Linked DNA regions of Coturnix japonica. The protein of the gene in region 5 binds, or shares a complex with, the protein of the main gene of each other region. Links are inferred from orthologs where the notes say so. Each region holds a gene or a part of one and is shown on either strand. Other genes may lie near its edges.

Region 1 (2,981 bases), on a different chromosome or scaffold from region 5:
CCCACACGACCCCCCCCCCCGGGCCGCAGCCCAGGCCCCATCCGCACCTGGATCATGTAGAGCTGCGCTACCTGGTACTCCTCCAGGCTCATGGGCAGCAGGATGTGGTACTCCTTGATCAGCATGGCGCCGTGTTTAGGGGAAGGGGCGAGGGGTGGGGGGGGCTCCGCGGCCCTCCGCCGTTAACCCGGCCCCGGCCCGGCCCGCTTCGGCCGGGCCCTCCCCACTGCCATAGCAACGCGCCCCCCGCCCGCTCGGCCGCGCTCTCGGCTCCCTTCGGCTGTTTCCGTCACCCTTCGGCTCCTTTCGGTTCCCTTCGGCTGCGCTCGGCCCCTTCCGAACCTGCGCCGCTCTGAGCCGGCCCCGCGCTGTGTGACGTCACGGCGTGGGGGGCGCCCGCTGACGTCAGGAGGTGGAACAGCGTGGGGGGGGGCGTGACGTCAGAGGGGACGTCAGAAGCGGGGGGGCGGCGGACCGGGAAATTAAAACGGAGCGGTATATATGGGGAATTGGGGGCTTGGAAGGAGGATTTCCTTTATAAGGGGGGGGATGCAGCACGTCCTTTATTTATAAAAGCCGGAAGGTTGGGGCGGGGGGAGCCCCGGGGGTGGCCCCGTTCGGGGGGAGCCACCGGCGGGGCTCGGGGGGGGGGGGGGGGTCGGGGGGCTGCTGTCACGTGCGGGCGTTGCGCTCTGTCTCGGCCAAGCACTCCCGAACCAGCGCCCGAGCGTGGATGATCCCTGAATGGGGGGGATATGAGTGAGCACTGAGCTCCGGGCTTAAGGGGGGGGGAGGGTCACAGAGGGTCGCCCCCCGGGCTCGTTACCCCGCTTGAGCCGCTCCATGGCGCTCTTGCTGCCGGCGTAGGTGGGCCGGATCTCCCTGCCCATCTCCTCGATGACAGACAGCAGGTCGCTGTAGGTGCTCTGCGAGCCCGGAGCGCCGGGCGGCTTCATGGTCTGACAGGGGATGGAAGGCGAGGAGGACGGAGGGGGGGGGGCTCAGCGTCGCCCCACGCCGCCCTCCCGCCGCGTGCCCCTGCCCCGCGGGCTCACCTGCACGTAGCCCATGGACGGCGGCCCGAAGTCGTTGAAGAGCGGGCGGAAGGCGGACGGCGAAGGGACGCTGGGAGCTGCGGGGAGCGACCCCGGGTCCGGCCCTTCCTTCGCACTGGGGCCGGGCCCGTCACCCCTCAGCCCGGCCCCGCTCGGGCCCAGCTCCGTCCGCTCCCTCCCTCAGCCCCGACTCCCCTCCGCACTCTCCGTCCCTCTCCCTTAGGCCCCGCCGCCCCTCAGGCCTCGTGCCCCTCCTTACGCCCTCTTCTCCCCCCACCCCCGCTCTATCCCCGGGGCTCCTCTCACCGGCGGCCGTGGCTGCGGGCCCCGGGGCGGGGCTGGCGCTGGGTGCGGGCGCGATGGGTTTGTAGGACATCCCGCAGCGCTCCGGGCCGAGCGGCGCCCGCCGTGTGCAGGAGACGGAAGCGAGCGGGGCGACCCCCCCCCACAACCTCCCGCTGATTGGTCAGACGGAGCGACCCGGCGGCGCCGATTGGTCGACGGCACGAAGGGAGCCGGCCTGCGCTGTCGGGGGAGCGCGGTGATGACGTCACGAGGCGCACGCCGCCGATACGCAAACATGGCGCGCCGGGCTCCCATCACCATGGAGACCAGCGGCGTCCTGCACCCCCCCATCACCCCCACCCCCACAGCGAGGGCCAGAGGCCTCCCCCGGCACTCAACGGACGGGCACACGGCACCCGGCGGCACACAGCTTCATTGCGAACCGGCAGCGCTGCCAACACACCGACACGGGGCTCCAACACCGGAGCTCCCCCCCCACACACACCATGAGGGGCAGCGCAGGCCCGGGAAGGCCGCCTCCTCCTCCTCCTCCTCCTCCTCCCGGTAAGGCACGGCGGCGAGTCCCGGCCCTTCAGCGCGACATCATCCGCACAAACTCTGCACAAAGAACCACAGCATTAACCCCAAATAAAGCCGGCAATAAGCCCCAAATACAGCTGGCAATAGGGAGGCCCCCCCATCCATGGCTCCATTGTCCCCCAGTTAAAGCTGGGATCAATAGGGCCCCCCCCCCCTCCTTCACCCTGCCCCCATTTACCTTCAAAGTCCACCAGGCCGTCCCCATTGAGATCCACGTCCTTGAGGATCTCGTCCACCTCGCGGTAGTTGAGCTGCTGGCCCAGCAGCTTCCTCATGGCCTCCCGCAGCTCCGCCATGCTGATCTGCCCGTCCCCATTGGTGTCGAACTGCCCCATAGGAGACCCAGCATCACCACTGTGCTCCCAGCACTGCACCCCCTCCCCTCCCCCAATCCCGGCCCTGCTGCCCCCAGCCCTCACCTCACGGAAGGCATCGCGCAGCTCCTTGATCCCAATCATATCCGCTGTCTCCGCCAGCATCTTGGGGCCCATCAGCTCCACAAAGTCATCAAAATCCACTTTGCCGCCTGCTGGAAGGACCAAAGGGGGATTACAAATCAGCGGGGGTGGTACCACTGTGGCAATATGGGGTTACTTCCCCCTTGTCCTGGCACCTACTGATCTGCTGGGACAGCTCAATGAGCTCCATCTCGGTGGGCATGTAGCCCATGGTGCGCATGCATTCACCCAGGTCCTTGTAGCTGATGTAGCCATCGCGGTCCTTGTCAAACTCCTTGAAGGCTTGTTTCAACTCTAGGGGCAGCACAGGGAGAATGGTGACACCTATAGACAGCCATGGGGGCACCCTACAGGTGGGGGCAGGTGAGGACGAAGGGAGCAGCACTCAGACAGGGACTGTGAGGGATAGATGCTGAGATGGGGACCAGCATGGGGAGCTGAAGAGAATGGGTGTGAAGATGGGGACTGAATGGGAAAGGTGGCACAATGGGAACTGGGATAGGGAGCCAGTGGAACAGGTGCTGATATGGGGACTGAAGAGAACAGGTGTCAAGATGGGGACAAAGCACATTAAGAACATGAG
Region 2 (4,026 bases), on a different chromosome or scaffold from region 5:
TTCCACAACATTCCTTCTCCCAACTGAGCAGTTCCTAGGGACCAGAAGTTTGCTCTAACTGAATAAGAAGAGGGAAGGGCACAGAGTAGATTACCATAACTAAAGGAATTAAAGCAGCAAGTACATTTAGCAAGTATGTTTGAGACCTGAAGATAACGTTTCAGTCCTCCAGAATAAAAAAAGTGTTCTTCTTTTCACCAGAACAGAGTACCCTACAGCTTACAGACATTAAAATACATTCATAACACAGTCGAGCAAGCCACTACTTGTCCTCCCCATAGGTAAGCCGCTACTTAGCAACTCAATTCTAATCCAGACTTGATATAGCCTTCTCTCCACCCCTTCCCTCTTTGTCAGCAGCTAGCAAGCAAGCGCCCAGCGCAGGGACAAGCAGCCAACTCCCCATCACCATCCCTTCCATCTGTGCCCCTACCTCTCCCAACCCCAGGGAGAGCCGGGCAACCCTTTCCTTTGTGGCAGGCTCAGAGAGCAGCCCAGCCATTCGCTCTCCCCTGCCGCCCCGCCCATTGCACACAGCCAGAGTCACTCCTTCTCCCTCCAAGGGAAAATGGCCTCCTGACCACAGGAGCTGGGCAGGATGGAGGCAGCCTCAGGTCAGGTAGCTGCAGCAGGCAGACAGAGCAGAAGTAAAGCCCTCGGAATTTGGGGTCTTGCAGTCCTGCCACCGTGCCAACTAATTAGCAAGTCTTTGCTCACATAGTCCTGCAACACCAGCTCATATGGGGATTCCACACCTTCTCCAGCTAATTCAGAGCTTAAGTATCCCACCCCTTCCAATGCTTTTCCCTAAAGCTTTCAGGTCTGCAGTGATTTTAACAGTTTGTTTTCCTCAACAAGGCTTCCCTCACAAGGCTTAATGACCATCTCCCCTCTACCTAAGAGGTACCAAATGCAGCTCAAGTCAATACCCTAAAAAAAAGCCAAGCCTTCCACAACATTTTGCCTCTCCACTTGTAACGTTTTCTCATTTGATATTACAACACTACAACAGGCATGTCTTGGTGGGAAAACTCAACAGGCCAACACATCAGAATACATACAACCTCTTTTTGCAAGGAAACAGAGAAGCCCGATGCTTATGGCTTCCTTAGTGCACGCATCAATAACATTCAAAACAGCAGAGTACCCAGGGCTCTAACTCCAGTCTCATGCAGATGAGGATGCAAGCAAAAGGGACAAGGCAACAAGGTAAGGTACAAAGACTATGAGAAAAGCAAAGGTGAGTAGGCAGTACAGAAAACGAGCCACCAGAAGCCTCAATAATTGGGTGTGGCAAAGAAAAAGTGGGTCATGCAAGAGCCCAGGGCAGTTTGCTCTGGACAGCAGCAAGCCTGAGATCCCAGATGAAACAGCCAGACATCCTCCCCTTTCACATACACAGCCACCTCCCCCAATCCAGGAATATGAAACTCAGACATTTTGGTCAAAATTAAGACATAACACTGACTGCTCACTCCTTCCCAGAGCATGAGCCCCCACTGACAACCTATGGTATCTCGGAACAAAGTCTGCTCCACCTGACACAAAGCCACGAGCCTCACACTTGGAACTGGGATTCCAATAGTAAAGATCAAAAACATACATTAACTCCTAGCTGAAGGGACATTCCTTCACAGAGCATTTATTCCACATATCCAGCCCAAGGAAAGCATTACCCCACCTCGCACGCTTGCCCTGCAGGCCCTCAATACCTTGATGCTGGGGGATAGCGTTGTTCAACAGGATCTCCATCTCATCGTCATCACTGCCCCCCGAGCATGGCGACGGAGATCCGATGCCCGATGCCATATCCTCTGAACCAGGGGAGGCCCAGGCTCACAGAAGTGCTGCCTTCCTGCCGGTGAAGCCAGTACTTCATTGAAAAGAATTAAGAGAAAGTTATAGCAGATGCAAAACGCGGTTTCCCAAGCAATAGTGCAACCAAAAGGATTCAGGAGAAAAAGCTTAATGATTTCATTACACCGGGAGCCGCCAGATAACATGTACTCTGGCAGCAGGTATCACATCAGAGTTGTGATGAAGCAGGCTTTAAGACAGCAGACGTTAAACTGAGTCAGCAACTCATTCCTCACAGGGAGCCAAAACAGCTGTCCTATAGGGAACATCCTCCTGCCTCCCGCAGCCGGTGCCAGACCGGAATGAGCGCCCTAGGTTATTTCTACCTTCGCCTGGGAGAAGGCGGGGAGCGGAGCCGGCCTTCCCACGGGCTCCTTGAGCCGCCCGGCGTTCCGTCAGGGCGGCGGCCGGCGGTCCCGCAAGGCGGCGGAGCCCTCCCGACCCAACTTGGCGGGCCGCCCGCCGCGCTGCCCCCGGGACCGACACAAAAGGCCCCACGGCCGCTCCCCCGCCCGGAGCGCAGCGGGGCCGCAGGGCGGGGGACGGCTCGGCGGGGGCGCGGGGCGGGGCCGGGAAAGTCCGGCCGGCGGGCGGCGGGGGTCCGGCTCTCCGCGGGGCCGGCTCCACACCGGGGCCGCACGGTAAGGCCGGGCACGGCGGGGCGGCCGCTCGTCGGGGCCGCGCCGGGAGGCGGGGCGGGCAGCGTCCCGCGGCCGCCGCGGTCCCGGGTCGAGCCGCGACCGAAAAGCGGCCGGGGGAACAGGCACCGGGGAGAGCCCGCGGGGCGGCGGGCACAACGCGAGGCACGGCGGAGAGGCCGCGCCCGCCCTCGTTCCCTCCCAGATCCTCACCCGGCTCCAGACGGCAGCTCCGCTCCGCTACCGCCGCTGCTGAAGGGAAAATGGCTCCGGCCCCGGCACCGCCTCTTAAAGGGGGGAGAGGGGAAAAAAAAAAAAAAAAAAAAAAAAAAAAGAAAAAAAAAAAAAGCAGGCTCCACCCCACTCCCGCCTCCATCCCATAATATACCCCGTGAACCTGGCAACAGACCCCGCCCCCGTATCCCCGGCAACACCCCCCCCAGCCGAGACATCCCATAATATTCACTCTCCCCTCAGAACTTCCCACTCGCCGCCCGGCCCAGCATCCCATAATACTCGCCCTCTATCCCCCCTCGGGTCCTTCTCTCCCTCCCCCCCCCCATCGGGAGCATCCCATAATACTCCCCACCTCTAACCCCTCGCTCCGGCATCCCATAATACCCACGCCGGACCCCCCCCTCCACGGACACCTCCTGGGGGTTTAAGCAGCCGATCCCCTCCACATCCCATAATAGTCACACCCCGGGCACGCATCCCATAATAGTTCTCCCCTCCCCCTGCGCGGGCAGGCATCCCATAATAGTCGCCGGGAGCCACCGGCCAGCCTGCCATCCCATAATACCCGCAGCGGGGCTCCGACACCGCCCCGCCCGCAGCGGGACGGGCCCTCGGGGGGCACCGCCATGGCCGCGGGGGGCACCGCCATGGCCTCAGAGCTCAGAGCTCACCCAGGTGTCCCAGCCCGCACGCCCGGCTCACACCGGGTACGGTCCCCCGGGTCAAGCAGCCACCGGCTGCACTGAGTGTGGGTCTCCCGGTGACCTCTGCCGCTGCTGGACCGTACGTCGGGGATGTAACGCGAGGTGCACAACGTGGTAGCGCCCTAAAGCTGTCCCCGTCCTAAAGGAATGCGGGGCATCCCTGCTCTGCGCCCTGCTGCTGCCCTACACCTGGCACCATCGCCTCGCCCGTACGCCCTAATTGCACACACGTCGCCGTGCCGTTAATGGTCACTGTATGGCACCGCTCGCCCCATGGCACCTCCGTTAGCTCGCCGGGCACCCAGCCCTGCCCACCTCAGCCCATGAACAATGGCTGTCAGTGTCTGCTGGCTCCTCCCCTGGAGCACCGCCGCAGCATCCCGCGCTGCCCATGCACACAGCCGTTCCTCCATGCACACCCTGTGCCGCTAGCACAGATGGGCTGGGCGGTGTGGAGCCCAACTGCATTGTGTTCCTTCGTGTGCTTATGGAGCCCTGCTAATACAACCCTGCCTACACAGCCCTCTGACCTCTTGCCTTACACAGGTGCCGCCCTGTCCTCTGTCCCTTTGCATTGCGTTGGTTCTCTC
Region 3 (4,142 bases), on a different chromosome or scaffold from region 5:
GTGTCCAACCCCTCGCAGTCTGTTTTCTTTGCAGGAAACGAGGGAATATGAGGTGTCCATCTAGGCGAGGGTGCAGCAGACCCCTCCCAGGATGCCCACGCCCACCGGCCCTCGCCATGGTGCCGGGGACATCTCTCGCAAGGACATTCAAGCGGGAGCCACCCCACACACACCCCAACCCGCCTGGACCCCCGTGGGGTCTCCCCCAGCCCCACTGCCCCCCGATCCCTGCTCTGGTTGGGCACGGGACGCTGAGCCAGCAGGACTCCCTGGGCCACATCCTGACCCCCCTCCCAGGAGCAGCAGTCCCCTCCCCGGCCCCAGCGATGGAGGAGTGACCCCTAGATGGGGCAGGCGCAGTGAGGAGCCCCCGGGGCTGCAGCCTGAAGGTGCTGGGGGGAAAAGGGGCCAGGTCGCGGGATGGGGGGCAATGGGGCGCCCTGGGGGGGTTAAGGAAACCTCGGGGTGCCCTCACCCTCCGCCCACCCCCAGCACCCCGATGTCTCCCAGAGCCATTCCCGTTACCCCAAGCATGCTGCGTCCCTCCGCTGCCCCCGCAGCACCTGCTCGCTTCCTCCTCCCCGGGGGGGGTGCCCCCCATCCCTGCACGTCCCGGCATCCCACGAGGGCCGGATCCGGACCCCCAGCCCCACGGTGACGGGGTGGGCGGGGGGGGGCACTGAGCATGGCTTTGTCGTCCTCCCCCCCCCCGGACCAGGTCACGGCTGGGGCTGGGGGTTCTGTCCCCGGCCGATGTAACATAGGGTCCCATTCCCCAGCCGCGCGTAACCCTGTTTTGGAGAGCAGCCCCTCCCCCTGCGCCCATCTTTTGGTTGTTTCATTAATAATAAAACAAAAATGGTGTTTTAGAAGAAAACGTGGCATGTTGTTGATGAGGGGACATCGGGGTACGCGGGGATTTGGGGCAGAGGGGACCCCCTGCATCCACCGACGTGCACCCCCCCCTCCCCTCTTTCCGGGTGCACTGTAGCTTTAAGAGGCGACGGCGCGCGGAGCTGGAGGGAGCGCGCCGGCGCGCCAAACGCCCCGCTGTGCGTCATGACGTCATCACGCCGCTCTCTCTCTGTCTCACCCCACCCCGGAACGTGACGGTCTCCACGCGCCCGATGCGCATGCGCGAGGGAGGCGCGGGGCGAGCCGGGCGCGGGAGGCGGAGCCAAAAACTCGCGCATGCGCGGTGCCCCGGCGCGCGCGCCGCCTGAGCCGAAAGCGGGGGATGGGCGGCTGCGCGTGCGCAGTGGGAGGCGGGCGGCGGGGCGCGGTCTGCGCGTGCGCGGGCGGCGCGGCGGCGGCGGCGACGGAGGGACCTGAGAGAGAGAGAGAGAGAGAGAGAGAGAGGAGAGCAGGGCGGCGGGGCGGGCGGAGCGGGCACAGCGCTGTGAGGCGGCAGAGCGGGGCCGGCCCCGGCCCTCCTGTGTGCGGCATGGCAGCGGGAGCGGGGCACCCCGCAGCCTCCCCCGGGCCCGGCGGCAGGAGGTGGAGGAGTCCCGGCCGAGCAGCGCAGCGGCCCGTGGGTTAGGCCTCGCCGCAGCCCGCTCCGTTTGAAGGCCGCCCAGTGGGGCTCCCGCTCCCGCCGCCGCCTGTCCCCGTCCCTCCGTCCGCTCCCTCGCTGTGGGGTGGTGGTGGGGGGGGGGTCTCTCGGGGCCGCCCCCCCCCCCCCAGGCTGGATGAATGTGGGAGAAGATGGAGACCAAGACGATCGTGTACGACCTGGACACCTCCGGGGGGCTGATGGAGGTGAGGGGGCGGCGGGGGCGGTGGGGCTGCAAAATGGCGAGGGGACCCCCCCAGCCCCCCCCTCTTTTTCACCATCCCCCCCCCCGGCCCCGAGCCCCGTGGCCATAGAAGGAAGTGAGGCCGCTCGCCCAATCCCCGGTGGGGGCCCTCCCGGGCACGGACGGGGCGGGCTCGGCCTTATCCCGGCCCCACCGAGCCGTGCGCTATGGGGGGCGGTGGGGGGTCAGAGTGCGGGCGGCCCTTAGAGCCCTGTGTGTGTGTGTGCGTGTCCGCAGCAAATCCAGGCCCTGCTGGCTCCCCCTAAGAGCGAAGATGGGGAGAAGAGGAGCAGGAGGCCTGAGAAGGAGCCCAGGAGAAGTGGCAGGGCCACTAACCACGACAGCTGCGATAGCTGCAAGGAAGGAGGGGATCTGCTGTGCTGCGATCACTGCCCCGCTGCTTTCCACCTCCAGTGCTGGTAAGGCTCCGTGCTCCCGCCCTCCGGGTCTGTGTCCCTGCATTGGGGCCCCCGTTAATTGCCTGCCTGGGAGCGGGGGAAGCAGACAGAGCTGTGAGCCCCGCTGTGCTCCGTGCCCACCGCTTCCCCCCTTTCAAAGCCACCGATCCGCACCTAAAACCTCATCCGGACGCCTTGGTGGCGTGGGCACGCTGACCCCAGGCCCTCCTTTCTTTCTGTGCCCAGAGGCCTAAAGGAGAAGCCAGGCCTCAGTCTGCCCGCTGCCTTCCTCCCCGCCTGCGCCCGACTTCCCCTCCTCTCTCCTCCAAACACATCCCCGTCCTCCCCAGGAGGGATTCACCTCCCCCCAGTCTCATCCTTGAGGGGATTCTCAGTGCTATCCCTGCTCTGGGCCCGGCCATCCCGGTGCTTCCGTGCTGCAGCGGCTGCTGGGAATAATGGAGGTTGCTGTCTCTGTGTCTCCCTGCCTCACTGTTTACAATATGGCGACCTTCCTTTAAATTATATTTTTATTCTCAGCGCCATTTTGGCTGCATATGTGACTTCCAAAGCCTTGCAGCTCTTCCTGAGTATCTCAGTGGTGAAAATACCTTCCCTGCAGTAATTCAGGGCTCCGGACTTTATAGATTGGCTCGGCTTATTTCTTTCCCTCCTTTTTCCTTCCCTCCTGATTCCATAGACATACTTATGTTATCCGTGTGCTGTGAATTTCGGGTTAGCCGGGCTTTCTTGCTTGGAGTTGTGCAGCTTGGTTGATAAAAGCAGATCTTTTTGCATGCAAATCTGGAGCTGGAGGTTCGTGGGGAGGAGGAGGCGGCCGTGACTCTGTTCGGTGGAGGCTGCAGCAGGGAGGGCTGTGGGGCCTCACCTCGGCCCTTCCCATACACACAGCACAAAGCCAAGCCTCAACTTTGCCCAGCAGAGCCGTGCACCAGGAGATGCAATGGGGGCTGCAGTGCTTGTTCTGCTCGCTCAACAGTTGACACAGGCTGAGGGTTAAATTAGCACAGCCAGAGTGGATAATGGAGTGGAGGAGGGAGCGGGGCGAGTCAAACAGCTGGAGCTCAGGCGTACCAAGTATTCTTCCTTAGGGGAGATTTTTTAACCACATTCCTTTCTCTCTTTCATGCTTTGGAGCTTTCTGTGTGCTACCCCATTACATCTGTCTCTATATAGATATATTTTTCCCCCTATTTCCCCCCCCCACACACACTCCCCTTTGCACGGTGGTTATGCCTCGTTTCTCTGCTAACTTCAAGTCTCTGAACACTTATTAAACTGATTGCTGATACCGGGAGAGCTGAGTGTGTGCGGTCGCAGTTGTGCAGGGAGTGTCCCGTTAGCAGCACACAGCCAGACCAGCCCAACAATGCTGTAGCGAGCAGCCATGACATCATCCCTCCTGCCCTGAGGAAGTGCTGCTGGTGGTTGGGCACATCCTCTGCACTTACTAAAATGACACCGACTTTATTTTCCCTCCAACCTTCTCTGGGCTTAAATTTAAGTGTTTTTTCCCCTTATGTTAAATGTAGTTGCTTTAAACTCGATTGTTTGCTTACAGATGCATCCCAAGCCTTCTCTTGCAGAGGCTTCACGCTTGGGTTTTCAGATGGAAGGGCTGTGACTAACGCTGCAAAGTTTAATTGACTCCGAATCCTGGCTCATCCTAACTGTAAATGGGTCCGTTCTGTGCACGGTGAAATCTGGCTATGATTCATGACTTAATTTGGCAAGATTCTTGTAGCCAGTGGGAAATGCTCATGTAAATCAGCCATGCAGAGAGGTTTGGCTGGACTCAAGTTGGTTAAGTGATAATTACAGAAATTCTTTGGTTAACTAGTCACCCTTCAGGACAGAAGCAGAAGGTGCAGCTCTGGTTATTCCTTCTCCCTTTTGTTGTTCCATTCCTTGGGCTATCACTGAGCGC
Region 4 (2,183 bases), on a different chromosome or scaffold from region 5:
GTGAGTTCCTTAACGGTGCTAACATTGCCTGTAGCATCCAGAGGGGGCTCTGTTAACTGGTGCACGGATGGTGCATGGATTTTCACTTCCAGGGTTTCTGCCTTTTCAGCTGCATCACTGGAGCCCTCAGGAAGCAATAGAGGCTATTGCCAAGATCCGTCCCCACATCCTCATTCGGCGTAAACAAGTCCAGGTCCTGGAGAGTTTTCACAAGGATGTTACTGCTGGGACAGCTGCATAGTGTTGGTGAGAACTACCAGAATCTCAGTCTCAGCTCCTTTAAGTGTTGTACTTTTCAATGTTCAATAAAGATATTTTTACATAAGTTATGGTAAAAGGAGAGTTTGGGCTGTTTCATTACAACTTTTTTTCCTTATGGCCACTTATTTCTTGGAGCACTATCATTCTCACTCACACACAAGCGATGGGCTGAACCACGATCCATGGAAGGCTCTGTAATACTGTACTGTACTGTAATACTTGCAGCCAAGAAAAGAAAACTTTGTCTCAGCAGAGACTTTATTCAGATTCTTACCCAAGGGGTTACAGTGCCAATAGAGAGGGGTAGGAGGAAGTGGTCTTAATTCCATCTTTTACCAACAGTATGTTATGATTACAGGTGGGGGTTTCCTGTACAGTAAAGGAAGCCAATGCTCATAAGAACAATCTCCTTTATGCTTGGTGATGACAGAGCAACAAGCAAACTCCCAGTCTGTTACCACTCCTCTAGGAGAAGTGCTGAATAACGCAACCTACTTGGGGTCAGCTCTGGAATCTGTCTGCTGTAACTTTCTGCCAGTCTCTCCTGCAACAGGGACACAGGAACGTTTAAGTGGGGACATCCCTGGAGGACAGACAGCACAAATCTAACTCTGCGACTGACAGCCGCAGCAACACGTATTCTCCCAGGCAGTTAAAACTTACCGTCTGTGCCAAGGATGATGTCCTCCATATGCTATAGGATTTGTGGACGGGTTCCAAGCTAAAAAAGCTACTTGCTGTGGTTTGGGCCTCAAACACAAGCAGCTTATCGTCAAGGGATCACAGTAATAGCATTTAGTCCATCTGAAATCTAAGATGCATCAGTTCAGCTTTAATAGTGCTATCTAAAAGAACAGGCCTGTACTTCCTCTGTGCAGATGGGCTCTTTACTGGATGCTGTGAGCTTGTAGTAATTGGGACTGGTGCTGAGGGTGGTGGGTACGTCTGATCTGTGCAGCAAAACACCATTGCTGCCTGTCTTACTACTGGGCCTGTTCTTCCCCATTAGGCCAGGACAAACTGCAGGTTAGTGAGCAGCACTTTGATGCCACTTGTGACTGTTACAACAGAGGTGGCTGGGTTAAGTTTAAAAGTATTTGCATCGCCCTTTTTATAGCGGTCTCGAAAAACGTAGATGCTGCCATTGCAGCTGGCAATCTTCCACAGGGACGGTACTGAGCTCCAGGCATCTGGCAGGCACAGCCGAGTGAAGCTATCCAGTAAGGGATTATAGCAAAGCAGCGAGTCCCCCTCAGCTACAATGAACACCACATCCTTGTGGACAGCAGCATGCATGCGCCCTGCAAAAGGCAGTACGTATGGTTTCACGTGGCATTTCTCCGTGTTGGTATCATAGCACTGTATAAGCCTAGAAGGCTTGGTGAAGAAGTCCAAGTCATTTTCTTCCCCGCCCAGCAGGTAAATGACACCGTTAAGATTTACACCTGCAGCCCCAGAGACAGCCACCTCCAGTTGGCTGGTCTCTGTCCAGACATTGTCTCGCACTCTGTAATATATGACAGCATTAGAGAGAGTGTCTTGCAGAGTTTTGCCCCCAAGGGAGTATATTGCATCCTTGCTTGGCACGGAGACAAGAGTGTGCTGAAGCCGGTCACGGGGCAGAGGGGCACACCATTCCCAGTCTATAGTTGCATTGTTGCATTTCCACATGCGTCGTGGAATGGAGCCACCGACAACGTATAGGTCACTACCATGTTTGCAGGCAGCTGTAATCTGGTGACACAGGCTGTTCTGGCCACTCACACTGATGGAGTCATCATCAGCACAATGCAGAGAGACAGCGAGTGAATGTGTTCGTGATGACTCCTTTCCAATCAGGTAGATGTGAACATTTTCTCCGATCACCTAAGAAACAAGGAATTTATCAGTCTTAGCAGAACTAGACCTTTTTACACGAACAT
Region 5 (3,500 bases):
GTTTTTATTACTTTACCAATATAATAAGTGCATGTACAAACTAATGTAACAAAGCTGTTAACAAGGAATTGATTTATCCTTGGAGTGCTGTCACAGAGAAGCTGAAAGCAAGAGTATCAAGTGAAGAATATATTAATCTTCATATGTGAAATGATATTTCAATTTGCAAAGTGGAACAACTTCCTGTCCTGATGAGACAGAGTCTAATAGAAGGAATGGCTTAACTTACTTTAAAAAATAAAAATCTTAAGAGCCAGGCAAATTATTTTCCATTCTCAGCTGTGACTGAGATCCACCAGCAACTTAGATAATAATGCTTCACAGTCTGTTGTTCCCTTCTTCAAGTTAAATGTACTGTTAGTAAATCACCTGTGGAGCATGCTGATGTTTTACAGCAGTGGGAAGCATTAGAATTCAAAATGTACCTTATTAACGTAAGAAATAACAAGAAAAAAAACAAAAACAACTGTATTACTAAGCAAATCTAACACAGTAAAGTTGCATGAAAAATACTGTGACTACTAAAACTATTGTATACATTTATTTTAAGATCTGAATTAAGATTTGAAACCCTGTGATGTACAAAGACCTACTTTTCTCTATATCTGCAGAACTGAAAGGTACTGACTGTAATTACAAGTGCAGCACACTGCTCAGACAATATATCCAGAAGTCAAAGTGTTGGCTTAACTTATCTAGAGGGAAGCATAATTGCTTCCAGTATTTCTTCCTAAGGTTCCTCAACACAACTATTAATCCAGACAAACATGGTAACTTTACAGAAAATACATGTTATTATGGAGTATAATTGTGAAAGCAGTACAATCCACACGGAAGTGCATAAGAAGGAATTTATCACAATGAAATGTCATGCTCAATCTTACCCTAAGATCCCCCGTGCCTGGAAAATATTCACCATACTTATGGAAGGACACAGTCATGACACGGTCTGTGGTATAGAAAGCTTCCTCCACACCATCTCCGTGATGGATATCAATATCAATATACAACACTCTTTGGTGATACCTAGAAAGAAAATTACACATGTGAAATCACAATCTTCTGTTATGTCCATAAGATATCAATACCTACCAAAGAAAAATAGAAATAAATCACAGATTATGATAAAGTTTATAATTTTGAAGTTACCATAAATCTCAGAATTATCAGTACAGTTTGGATGATGGTAAAAATAAGCTCATCTTAAAGAGATTTTTATCACGCAACGCATTCAATATTTAACTGAGTTGTCCTAGTCAGGAGTAGTTTTACCTTTTAATCCTGTTCATACCAATTTCTGTTGTCCAGATCCTTTGAATTTACCCCTTTCATGGTACACTTTTGTCTAGTTTCTCAATGATTGCCAAAACATTCTGTAATGAAACAACTTGAAGTGTATGCCTTTCAAGAATTTTTGAAGAACCAGTGCCAGGAGCAGGTATAATCCATATTCCATAAATATTAAAATATCATTTTTTGCAGACTTATTTTCCATCAAATCTCCTTTTTCACCTCTGCAAAGACTAAAAGATATAAGCATGTTCTTGTTTCCAACTGTACTTACCATTAACATAAAACCACAGTATGGCTTAACAGTTCTTTGAATAGTGCAAGTTTCTGATCATTTTATTTGAGAGGAATAAAGAAAGCTGCTTCATGGCAAGAGCACTAAAAACTACAGTAAACGACCCTTAAATCCTGTGCTGTTCAGTAAAGAATAAAGTCTATCACCATCAGAAGACACTTTCACCAAATTTTTCAGTGCTATAAACTACAGAGCAGCCACAGTTTCCTGTGTGCTAAGATCTTTCTCTCTTAACAAGATACCAAATAGAACAGCTTCTTGCAGTGATATAACCCATATCTGGTTTGAAGTTTACTTCCTTCACATACAAGATTTAAAACCAGTATTCAAAACCAGACCACAGAAAAACCATATTGCTTTTATTAGATGGTAGAGACAATCACAATAGTTTTGGCTGGAAGAAATCACCTTGTTACAACTTCTATTGGAAGGGACATATTCCAATAAATCAGGCTGTCTAAAGCCACATCCAACTCTGCCTTGAACACTTATAGGGATGGGGCATTCACAGCCTCTCTCTGGGCAACCTCTTCCAGCACCTCATCACCCAGACAGTAAATAACTTCTTCCTAATAACTCCTTGTCCTATTGCTATACTCCCTGATGAAGAATTTCCCTCCAGCCCGCTTTTAGGTACTGGAAGGCCACCACAAGGCCTCCCCCTGAGGCTACTCTTCTCTAGAATGCAGAACCTCAACTCCCTCAGCTTCTCCTTATATCCTCAATATATGCATATTAAAATGAATGCTTTAATATGAAATACCTGTGCCTCCAGCAACTTCTTCCATTTTTAAAATTACTTCCTAGTTACAGCTATTTCCCTCTACTGCCTGCCACCAGCATATTCAGCTGCTCCACCGCCAAGCAGTCAAATGCCAATGTTTTTTGTAAAAAATAAGCCTTATGCGATTAGAAGAGATAAAGTCCCATTAAATACTGTAACTAATATTAACGACTTGAGGTTTTATTGACGCACTGTTGCTTGAAGGTAGTTTTGTGATCAATTCTGCATTACTCCCCTCTTCATTTATTACTCTACAACCAAAGCAGCACAGCTGTTATTTCATTGTTTTCTTAACAGCCACATTAACTTATGTAACAACACAAGAAATTTCAGTGTATGATTTTCCTTAGAATTCCTGTTTATTAGCAATGTCCTGAAAGATGGAAAATAAAAGGGCATAACTGAGAGATCAAATAGGTCTATGACTGAGAACAAAACACCTGAGGCTTCAGTGACCACTAGTCAGGCCAAAGCTCTCGACCACTATTCTGTCTCCATGAGTAGCAACAGAAGACAACTTTTACAGGAGAAAGCAAGCCTATCCATTTTCCAAGACCTGTTACCCAACATCTATAATTACAACATACGATATTTTTCAAGGGTGAATCACCTCTTGGTTCTTTCATAGAATCATAGAATCACAAGGTTGGAAAGGACCTGCAAGATCATCTAGTCCAACTGTCCTCCCTTTACCATACCTACAGAAAACTACTAAACCATATATATCTCCTAGCTCCCTATCCAGACGTCTCTTGAACATTGCCAGGGATGGTGATTCCACCACCTCCCTGGGCAGGCCATTCCAGTGCCTGACCACTCTCTGAGAAAAAAAGTTCCTTCTTATGTTCAGTCTAAACCTCATCTGATACAACTTGTGGCCATTTCCTCGGGTCCTGTTTGTTGGCTGGCAGAAGAGGCCAAGCCCCTCCTCATCACAGCTTCCCTTCAGGAAGTTGTAAAGTGCAATGAGATCTCTTTAGCTTCCATTTACAGATCTCCTGCCCAAGAACATGTCTAATTTTCAATCTAATGTCACCCACAGCTTCATTCAAGCTCCTGTAATAGTGATATCTAGAAGTTCACTACCCTTGTGCTTAAAAAGTACTTTAAGAACGTGTTTCAAAGCTATCT
Region 6 (4,100 bases), on a different chromosome or scaffold from region 5:
ATTCCAAGCAGTGAAGAGAAGTGAATTTCATCTACAGGTTGTGAGTCTTTCCATAATGCATTCTACATATGAACAGGCAGCATTAAATATTCTGCCTTGCTTTAAGCATACACATACCAAAGACCTTTTAGCCTCTGGAAGAAACTGTCCAAACTCAGAGAGGAGATCCTCCTGGCCTCTGAACAGATTTGCTACTTCAGTAAATACTTCTTCCTCTGACATGCCCCGAAAGGGTCGACCTTTAGTGTTAAGCTGTTCTTTCTGAAAAGATACACACAGATGTTAAACAGATACAAACACACGACTCACAGCAGCCAAAATAAAAACACAACATAAACTTCATATAACTATTAGACAGTCCAAGGCTCCTATCCCACAGGTTATCACTACATCAGCTGAAGGTTATTGAAGACAGATCCACGTACAACCCCTCTGCATCTCAGAGCCCAGGAGGTTCGACAGTTTTCACACTTCTGTCATTTCATATGAATATCTATGAGGCAGTTGTTGCACAAAGCCTGATGTCTCATTTGATAGCTGTTCAAGCAGCCACACCACAAACCCATAATCTATCTTACATTGAAGGCTTTTTACCTGATAAGTATGAAGAATTTCTAAAAAGGATCTGTAAATTTCTGGGTGGTCAAGGAAGCGCGTTTTGATCTTATTCACGTAGCTAATGGCATTATTGAACTCTACAGAATCGGACTCCAAAGGGATTTGGGATTTATCTTCTTTGTACGGAAGCTGGTGCCTAAACTCCTCAGTACAGTCACTGTGGTTGTGCGAATTCTCCTGTGAGTAATGCAACAACAGCCCGCTGCCAGGGAGGGCGCTGGGAACAGGCTCTGAGGGCACCTAGTGGCATAAGACATACAAGACAGTGACTCGTGTTGAAACACAGGTGCAACTACATCCTAGCATTGATATTTTAAATGTTTAGCTAAAACAGATTACCACATGAAGAAATAAATGTGGGGGGGAAAAAAGATTTAATTTGCTAATACATTTTCTTCCCTGTGTTATTAACACCACGAGTTAAAAACAAACAAACCCATAAGCCATATCTGACTTGGTAAACAGTCTGACTCACTGCTGCTTTTGACTGTCCCTGCATTATCCACACTTGTGAGGCTGTACCAGGTAATGTGTGCTGCAGTTCCTGTTACCACTGTTCTATGTCAGTTTTAAGAAACATTAAACTCCTGAGCAACAGAAAGATCTGAAAGATACATACTGCTACTAATCAGCATTAAACCACAACTTTATCAGCAGAATTCAGTAAGAACTCTATTTCGGCCTCCACAGCTGCACAGTAACAAGAAAAAAGGAGAGGCCAATGTGTACCCAACCATCACACACAAGATGTATTTCAGTTTTACATTGTAGCCCTTACCACATCTTAAAAACTAGGTCAGAACTTTTGCAATGTGCAATACATGCAAACGTACATAGCCTAAACAGCGCAAGAGATGTGCGAAGCAATATATTAATAGGATTTATTTGGAGTACTGTGAGCTTTATAACCTACCTGACTTGTCAGCGGTGACTGTATACTTAACTTCCCATTCTTTGGAATTTCTATTCTGTATCCCAGAGGGAGAAAAGCATTGAATCCTACAATGAGGTCGGGGTGTTCGTGGAACAGCTGTGAGACGCGTCGGATGACTCCGGGTGTGTCGATGCTAAAATTGAGAAGAATTTTGTTACTTGTGTTATGTCAGAAATACAACTTAAGGCCAAAAAACTACAGAGGTAGGTGAGAAGCCAGATGCCATTCTCATCAAAAACAAGTCTGGAATCTTCAGACCTAGGAGTGAGCCCAGGCAGAGGGAAGGAGCAGCATCCACTGCAGCCACCCACTGGGAACATTCTCCATAGAGAAGAACATGCAGGTTACCCAATATGGGCACCACACAAAGACTGAGAGCTCTCAGCAATACTCTTAAAATTCTTCATCTGTTTTTCCAAATCTGCGTTTCAGAGCAGGATGTAAAAACACACTGTTCTTTTCCCATGGATTTCTGCTCTGGAAAACAAGGAAGCAGACGGCACTGGGATGGACACCTCCTCCATCACCTCCAGCGTGGAACAACTGGGCCAGCAAGGACAGGGGAACCATGGGGTGAAGGCTGAGGAAGCCCCCAAGGTTGAGACAGCCCCGGGGCAGCCCGGGCCGGGCTTTACCTCTGGCTTTTGAACTCCTTCATGATCTCCAGGAAGCCGTTGTAGGTGGCGGGGTCACTGCCGAAGCGGATCTTCACCTGGTCCAGGTAGGAGAGCGCATCCTCCACCTGTGGGCGGGATGCTACTGAGGCCCCGGGGAGGGGGCGCACAGGCCCGGGGCGCTGCAGAGGCCTCGGCTGACACCCCCACCGCGCTGAGAGCGCCGGTGAGACGGAACAGACCCCGGGGGAACGCCGCGATACCGGAGCGGGGCTGAGGGCACCGAAACTGTGGGACCGAGGGGGGGATCAGGGGACGGGAGGATGGTGGGGGAAGGCCGCGGTAACGGGGGTGGGGAACGGGGCCGAGTGTGGGGGGGGGGAAGGCGGGGGCGCCCCGGGCTGTGGGAGCAGAGGGGCGCCCCGCGGCCCCGGGGGCGGGTTCGGCGCCGGACCGGGGCGGGGCGGGTCACGGCGGGGCGGGCAGGGCCGCTCCCCGCCGCCCTCCGCGAGGATGGGGACGAATCCCGGGGGGCCGCGCTCCGCACTCACATGCACCGGCAGCTTCTCCTGCGCCGCGGCCCGGCCGCCGCCGCCGCCGCCCCATCGCGGGGCGCTGCCCCCCCGGCCGCCGCCGCCGCCCCCCGCCGCCATGTTGGGAGTCGGAGCCGCCGCCGCCGCGCGCCCCCCGTCAGCGCGTGCGGAGCGTCTGCGTCAGCGCGCACGGCGCCACGGCCCGGCCCGGCCCGGAGCGGAACCGCCCGCACCGCGCGACGCTTCCGGCCCTTCCAGCGGCACCGGCGGGAGCGGCGGGGAAACCTGAGCGGGACGAGGGAGGGACGGGGCTGCGCGGGGTGAGCAATGCGGGACCGCTACGGGCAGCGGCGGGTGGCGGACGGACGGACGGACGGACGTTGTACGGGAGCCCGGGGCCCTCGCGGTGGCCGCTCCTATTGGGCCGCGATTAAAGGGCACAAACTGAGCTCCAGCGCCCGTTGTGGCATTTGTGGATCAAACACCGTCTTTATTTATTGTTGCTTATTCGCTGATCTTACACGCTCGTTCTGTGGTACGTGGCAGCGGTGGCTCGTGCTGTGAAGGCGAGGGGACCTGCAGGGCTACTCAACCACATCGTTCTGAAGCAGGATGAGATAAGATGGGATGGGATGAGATGAGATGGGAGGGGAGCGGCTGTTTGTGCTGTTTCAGGTTATTCATCTTGGCTTTTACAGCACCGAGCAGATGTGGGACAGCGTGTCGGTCCAGATCAGGCTCCCAGAAGGGTTTCCTTGGTCACACTGCTGTGTGCTGCACTTCCTCCTGTCCCTCCCTCTGATGTCGTTGCACAGAGCTGTGGTGGTGGTGTGCTGAGAAGAGGCTCTTGTGGGACGACAGAACCTCTCACAAATGATGCGACCCAGCCTCGTGGTGGCCACAAACCCATCTGCATTGGGGAATGATCCTACAAGCAGTGCTGTGCATGCGCTGCACCACCAGCAAGGCACCTGTGGGGCCAGGCACAGAGCAAAGGGCTTAATGTACATCCCTAACTTTGGGCTTCCCCTAATGCATGTCCCCTGCTTCCTTTCCCAGCAGACAACTGAACTCTGTTGAATTGGACCACTACTGCTACATGAGAGAGAGGGAAACCAGTATGCTATGCTGTCTGTTTCTCCATAGGACACCATAGGGATGTCTCATAGAGACCTTGGGTTGAATTTGCAATTAACTTGACTGCTATTTGAACCCTTTGCTGAGAGCTGTAGTGCTGGGATTTCAGCTTTTGGCTTTGATATTTGTAGTGGAAATGCTATGTCATGGCCTGAAACAGTGTTGGAACACCTGGTGGGAAGGCAGGGCCAACCCAGGGAGCTCAGGTGCAAGCAGTGCTGCTGAGTGATGGAGGGGTGGAGCCAGGATCCACCCCTTCCCAGC
Region 7 (3,500 bases), on a different chromosome or scaffold from region 5:
GGTCATTCTTAGAGTATTTTATGTGGCCTGCCTACACCTCTTTGCTAAGACTCTGCTAGGCTGACGCTCTAAAACTGTTTTCTATCCTGACAGCAATTTTCTGAACTCCATTTTTGCTTGTTCACTGTAGGTTTGGAAGGAAAGACACACAAGTGTCACTTCACGTGGTGATGAGCTTCCAAAGAAATAATAATGTGCTGCTACAAAGCTTTATCTCATCATCTGGGATCTGGCACGCAGAATTTCTTTTACTTTCTGAGGGGTTTAATTGGACTCCTGTTAATAATAAACAAATGGGAACAAGGCTGGTAATGCTCTTAGTTCCAATTTTCTTAGTAAATGAATAAAATCAGTGAATATACCAAGTTCAAATAATGAAAACCTGCTAGGGCAATTTAATTTTTGTTTCTAATATCTCTGGACTTATCTGAATATTTGCATATAGCAGGCATTGCATGGCAGGTGTCTGTAAAATGTTTGCACGTAAGTTTCTCAGTATGACCCTCAGTTTGGAATACAAATGAGGACTGGGGGAAGTTTGAAGTATGTACAGCACATTTTGGGAGCAGCATCTGGAAGAAGATAAATATTAGGGACGCTGCTATTCAGTGTTGTTCCAGATGTTACGAGTGAGAGGCATTGTGATCTCAATTGTGATCTCCCCTGAACTTTGATGCCATGATAGGCAGTCCATGCAATTTGATGCACACAATGAATTCTGATGGTGCTGCTGAAGCGGTGAAATCATTCTTCCAGTACTCTGCAGGACAGTCAGTTGGCTGAGCTGTCTGATGTTCCCTTGTCCTTTGTTCTGTCTTTGAGAGATCTCTGAAATGCTGAAATAGCACCTCTACAAGCATTTGGGAAATACGAAGCATTGGTGAATGTTCCTGGGTAATGATGGCTAGGAGTGCTTTAAGATGCTTGTTTTTTGGAACTACTCATGGCCTGTCTTCTGTAGATTTGAGTTGAATTAATCCCCAAAAAGAGAACACCACCCTTTGTTCCACAGGAATCTTGAAGCATCAGTATTATGGTGGTAAATAATCTCCTTTTGTTGTTTTCTAAATTCTTTGTAGGCCCCTGAGTGTTTGTGGATCTGAACTTACTGTACTTCTGGCTTTCAATTCGTTCAGTACTTTCATTTTTATGTTTGCAATAATTTGTGTTCTTCTTGCAGGAAAACAAAAAAGAACAAGCAGAAAAGTAAGTACATCTTTATTGTGTGTGTAAGTGGATATACTTTGTTAGGGAAGGATTCTTAGCTGGAATAAGACCTTAAATCTGCCCCCACTGAGTTTAGTTCCTGTCAACTTATGGTGCTTCTCCTGGACTTCAGGTGTCTCTTCTGTATTATTTGCTAGTTAATAAAACAGGACTGTATAATTTGCTGCTTTGTACATGGACTCTTCCAGTCTGTCATGATTTAGACCCCTTGGAAATAGAATGGTATTCCCATTGATCTGCTGAAATAATTCTCACTATTAAGTCAAACCTCAGTTTTCATACTGGGATGGGACATGTCTGCATAGCTGAGTTGTTGGTTCCAAAAGTTCCTTTTTTTTTATTGCTATTTCTTATGGCCTTACCAGACTTCTTACACAGCACACTGTTTCTCTTCTGTACAGCTCCTGGAATTGGAGAAGGGAGCAGCAGCAGTGAGACTCCTCAGCCTCCTAGGAAGAAAAGGGCACGAGTAGATCCAACAGTGGAAAGTGTATGTGTGTATGATTCTCCTACAGGATTTTTGATGGGGAACAGAAGAGCTGCTTTGCTCAGAAACACAGACAGCAGTGCTTTATCCTGCAGTATGGCGGTGTGAATTGTTACAGCTTCTTGAAATGCTAGGCCTGCCAGGTGGCCTTAAAACCTGAGCTATTTCCCTGCTCCCCCAAGAGATGACTTAGCAGTTCTTTACTCCTGTAGTGTATTTCCTTTGTGGAAAGGATGGGATGAGTGCCTTATCTCAATTGGTTATCTGAAAGTAATTAGTGTGAATCCACTTTCTTTTTTCCCCAGGAAGAAACATTTATGAACAGAGTTGAAGTAAAGGTGAAAATCCCAGAAGAGTTGAAACCGTGGCTGGTAGATGACTGGGACTTGATCACCAGGCAAAAACAGGTAATTTTAGAATTCATATCTCACTTGAGTGCAGTGCAGCAAAATCCCTCATAGAGTTTGACAGAAGCCTTACTTGACAGTTCTGGTTGCAATTGGATTTTACCTGAAGGTCATCTGTGAGTTGGACTGTGCAGCAGAATTGTGTGCAAGTTTGTAGACTGTAATCAGTCTAATTGGGCATAAGCTCAATGTCAAGTAATTACAAGTTTTGTGATGTTCCTCTAAGCGTGTTTGGCCTATTGGAATGCCTTGAAAAGTTTGCTTAGGTGACAGAATTAGTCTGTATGAGCATTACAGGTGATGTTCTGTCCTGTCTTGTTTATGCATCACTCATTCAGAAAGCAACTGAAGCATCTACAGCTCTGACTAAATATGGTCTTAGAATAGTGATTTTTAGCTGTGCTGCCAAGCTGGATCTGTATAAAGACTCCTGATAGAGCAGTTTTGCCTAAAATAAACTGTCTTCCATTGTAAGAAATGTAATATTTTTTCAGGAGCTTGTTAGTAAGTGAAATGACTTTGCATTCTTCTTGCCAGTTGTACTAAGTGTTGCTGAAAACTGTTCATTATTATTGGTCCCAGCAGGTGCCCAGCAGGTTTGTTTGCTACCAGTCCTGGGTGCTGAACTGGATGCAGGAAGCAAAGCAAGAAAAATAGTAGTCCAGGCTGCTGCTGCTTGTACAGGCGTGGTCTGTGGCCTGGTGTAGGCAGGTGTGCTGACATCTGTCTGCTTTGCTGCTTACCTTTGATTCTTGGGTTGCTTTAATAGTTCATCTTCAGGTTGATTTTAAGTTGCAGAAATGCAAAATGAGAACATGAATGTGGCTGCTGTTAGGTGTCTTGATGTGTACCACTGAACCAGCTGGAGTTTTAGCAATGCTTTACACACTGACTTGTTAATTTTATTCCAGAATATCTGTATGTCTATCAGTTTAAGTTTGTCAGTTTGTATTTTCGGTTTTGTGTCTTCCACAGCTCTTCTATCTTCCTGCCAAGAAGAACGTTGACTCTATTTTAGAGGATTACGCAAACTACAAGAAATCTCGAGGAAATACTGATAACAAGTAAGTAGCAGTCAGTTCAGATCTCAGTTCAGATCTCAGTGTTGTCTCGTTGTTGTTGGATGTCTCGTTCATGAAGAAACTTGCAGAGTTGTTAATCATACCTCAGTGCTGTGCTCAGCCTGGTATTTGAGACCTAGGTGGTCCAGGCCTTCAAGGACACCATTCAAGAACACAGTCCTACATCCAGAACATTTGCTCTCTCCCTGCGTTCTGCCCCTTCCCTGGCACTTTTTCCTAAAGGAAGCTGTTGAAGCCACCTCGGTGGTTCTCTACCCATTGTCACCCAGTGAACAGGAGTCTACTGTTGCTTTGAAT

Evidence for each region.
Region 1: HDAC2 (region 5) and CDK2AP2 share a complex: the UniProt entries of both Homo sapiens proteins name them as parts of the nucleosome remodeling and deacetylase (NuRD) repressor complex. The link is inferred for Coturnix japonica from reciprocal best matches to the Homo sapiens genes HDAC2 and CDK2AP2.
Region 2: HDAC2 (region 5) and CHD4 share a complex: the UniProt entries of both Homo sapiens proteins name them as parts of the nucleosome remodeling and deacetylase (NuRD) repressor complex. The link is inferred for Coturnix japonica from reciprocal best matches to the Homo sapiens genes HDAC2 and CHD4.
Region 3: the proteins of HDAC2 (region 5) and PHF12 are in contact, whole or in part, in a cryo-EM structure (PDB 8BPB), measured with the Homo sapiens proteins. The link is inferred for Coturnix japonica from reciprocal best matches to the Homo sapiens genes HDAC2 and PHF12. Residues at the interface, in NP_001518.3 of Homo sapiens: Gln27, Tyr202, Gly203, Leu212, Arg213, Pro228, Met229, Arg230, Thr356, Glu358, Tyr359, Lys362, Ile363, Arg366; in NP_001028733.1 of Homo sapiens: Met21, Gln25, Met298, Asp299, Cys300, Leu301, Glu302, Pro303, Pro304, Leu305, Thr306, Ala307.
Region 4: the proteins of HDAC2 (region 5) and KBTBD4 are in contact, whole or in part, in a cryo-EM structure (PDB 9GGM), measured with the Homo sapiens proteins. The link is inferred for Coturnix japonica from reciprocal best matches to the Homo sapiens genes HDAC2 and KBTBD4. Residues at the interface, in NP_001518.3 of Homo sapiens: Gln27, Gly28, His29, Pro30, Asp100, His142, Gly150, Phe151, His179, Lys201, Gly203, Glu204, Tyr205, Phe206, Gly208, Asp231, Gly269, Asp270, Arg271, Leu272, Gly273, Cys274, Tyr304, Arg307, Asn350, Met351, Thr352, Gln354; in NP_060565.4 of Homo sapiens: Cys290, His291, Ser309, Arg312, Arg313, Trp326, Pro329, Pro331, Arg332, Asp333, Arg334, Thr355, Gln357, Ser361, Ala363, Val373, Trp374, Thr375, Glu376.
Region 6: the proteins of HDAC2 (region 5) and SIN3B are in contact, whole or in part, in a cryo-EM structure (PDB 8BPB), measured with the Homo sapiens proteins. The link is inferred for Coturnix japonica from reciprocal best matches to the Homo sapiens genes HDAC2 and SIN3B. Residues at the interface, in NP_001518.3 of Homo sapiens: Lys9, Asp19, Gly21, Asn22, Tyr23, Tyr24, Gln27, Gly28, Pro30, Lys32, His34, Arg37, Tyr46, Gly47, Arg50, Lys51, Lys59, Thr66, Lys67, Tyr68, His69, Ser70, Asp71, Asp100, Asp105, Gly106, Glu109, His142, Lys144, Lys145; in NP_056075.1 of Homo sapiens: Ile397, Gly398, Ser399, Ser400, Tyr401, Pro411, Lys412, Cys413, Ser414, Gly415, Arg416, Thr417, Ile419, Cys420, Glu422, Val455, Leu456, Asn457, Trp460, Val461, Ser462, Phe463, Pro464, Ser465, Trp466, Ser467, Glu468, Asp469, Phe472, Lys476.
Region 7: the proteins of HDAC2 (region 5) and MORF4L1 are in contact, whole or in part, in a cryo-EM structure (PDB 8C60), measured with the Homo sapiens proteins. The link is inferred for Coturnix japonica from reciprocal best matches to the Homo sapiens genes HDAC2 and MORF4L1. Residues at the interface, in NP_001518.3 of Homo sapiens: Gln93, Arg94, Asn96, Ser146, Glu147; in NP_996670.1 of Homo sapiens: Pro355, Glu356, Arg359, Lys360.

Annotation. Positions count from the first base shown.
Region 1 is NC_029520.1:566,350-569,330, reverse strand, and holds CDK2AP2 (cyclin-dependent kinase 2-associated protein 2), read right to left. Parts: upstream 1,560-2,981; 5' UTR 1,432-1,559; coding exon 1,362-1,431; intron 1,171-1,361; exon of another isoform or gene 1,133-1,170; coding exon 1,056-1,132; intron 960-1,055; coding exon 827-959; intron 741-826; coding exon 673-740; 3' UTR 501-672; downstream 1-500. Other genes in the region: PITPNM1 (membrane-associated phosphatidylinositol transfer protein 1), read right to left, coding at 48-125; CABP2 (calcium-binding protein 2), read right to left, coding at 1,933-1,958, 2,119-2,266, 2,360-2,469, 2,558-2,692. UniProt on the Homo sapiens protein: Acts as a component of the histone deacetylase NuRD complex which participates in the remodeling of chromatin.
Region 2 is NC_029516.1:69,352,268-69,356,293, forward strand, and holds the start of CHD4 (chromodomain-helicase-DNA-binding protein 4), read right to left. Parts: upstream 2,801-4,026; 5' UTR 2,709-2,800; intron 1,874-2,708; 5' UTR 1,810-1,873; coding exon 1,713-1,809; intron 1-1,712. UniProt on the Homo sapiens protein: ATP-dependent chromatin-remodeling factor that binds and distorts nucleosomal DNA. Acts as a component of the histone deacetylase NuRD complex which participates in the remodeling of chromatin.
Region 3 is NC_029534.1:4,690,379-4,694,520, reverse strand, and holds the start of PHF12 (PHD finger protein 12), read left to right. Parts: upstream 1-1,342; 5' UTR 1,343-1,692; coding exon 1,693-1,758; intron 1,759-2,033; coding exon 2,034-2,215; intron 2,216-4,142. Other genes in the region: SEZ6 (seizure protein 6 homolog), read left to right, coding at 19-51.
Region 4 is NC_029520.1:20,340,139-20,342,321, reverse strand, and holds the end of KBTBD4 (kelch repeat and BTB domain-containing protein 4), read right to left. Parts: intron 2,128-2,183; coding exon 1,267-2,127; 3' UTR 501-1,266; downstream 1-500. Other genes in the region: PTPMT1 (phosphatidylglycerophosphatase and protein-tyrosine phosphatase 1), read left to right, coding at 110-241. UniProt on the Homo sapiens protein: Substrate-specific adapter of a BCR (BTB-CUL3-RBX1) E3 ubiquitin ligase complex which targets CoREST corepressor complex components RCOR1, KDM1A/LSD1 and HDAC2 for proteasomal degradation.
Region 5 is NC_029518.1:58,978,486-58,981,985, reverse strand, and holds part of HDAC2 (histone deacetylase 2), read right to left. Parts: intron 1,027-3,500; coding exon 885-1,026; intron 1-884. UniProt on the Homo sapiens protein: Histone deacetylase that catalyzes the deacetylation of lysine residues on the N-terminal part of the core histones (H2A, H2B, H3 and H4).
Region 6 is NC_029543.1:3,324,330-3,328,429, forward strand, and holds the start of SIN3B (paired amphipathic helix protein Sin3b), read right to left. Parts: upstream 2,801-4,100; 5' UTR 2,718-2,800; intron 2,295-2,717; 5' UTR 2,211-2,294; coding exon 2,188-2,210; intron 1,686-2,187; coding exon 1,532-1,685; intron 859-1,531; coding exon 595-858; intron 262-594; coding exon 118-261; intron 1-117.
Region 7 is NC_029525.1:17,834,149-17,837,648, reverse strand, and holds part of MORF4L1 (mortality factor 4-like protein 1), read left to right. Parts: intron 1-1,180; coding exon 1,181-1,206; intron 1,207-1,628; coding exon 1,629-1,717; intron 1,718-2,019; coding exon 2,020-2,121; intron 2,122-3,096; coding exon 3,097-3,185; intron 3,186-3,500. UniProt on the Homo sapiens protein: Component of the NuA4 histone acetyltransferase (HAT) complex which is involved in transcriptional activation of select genes principally by acetylation of nucleosomal histones H4 and H2A.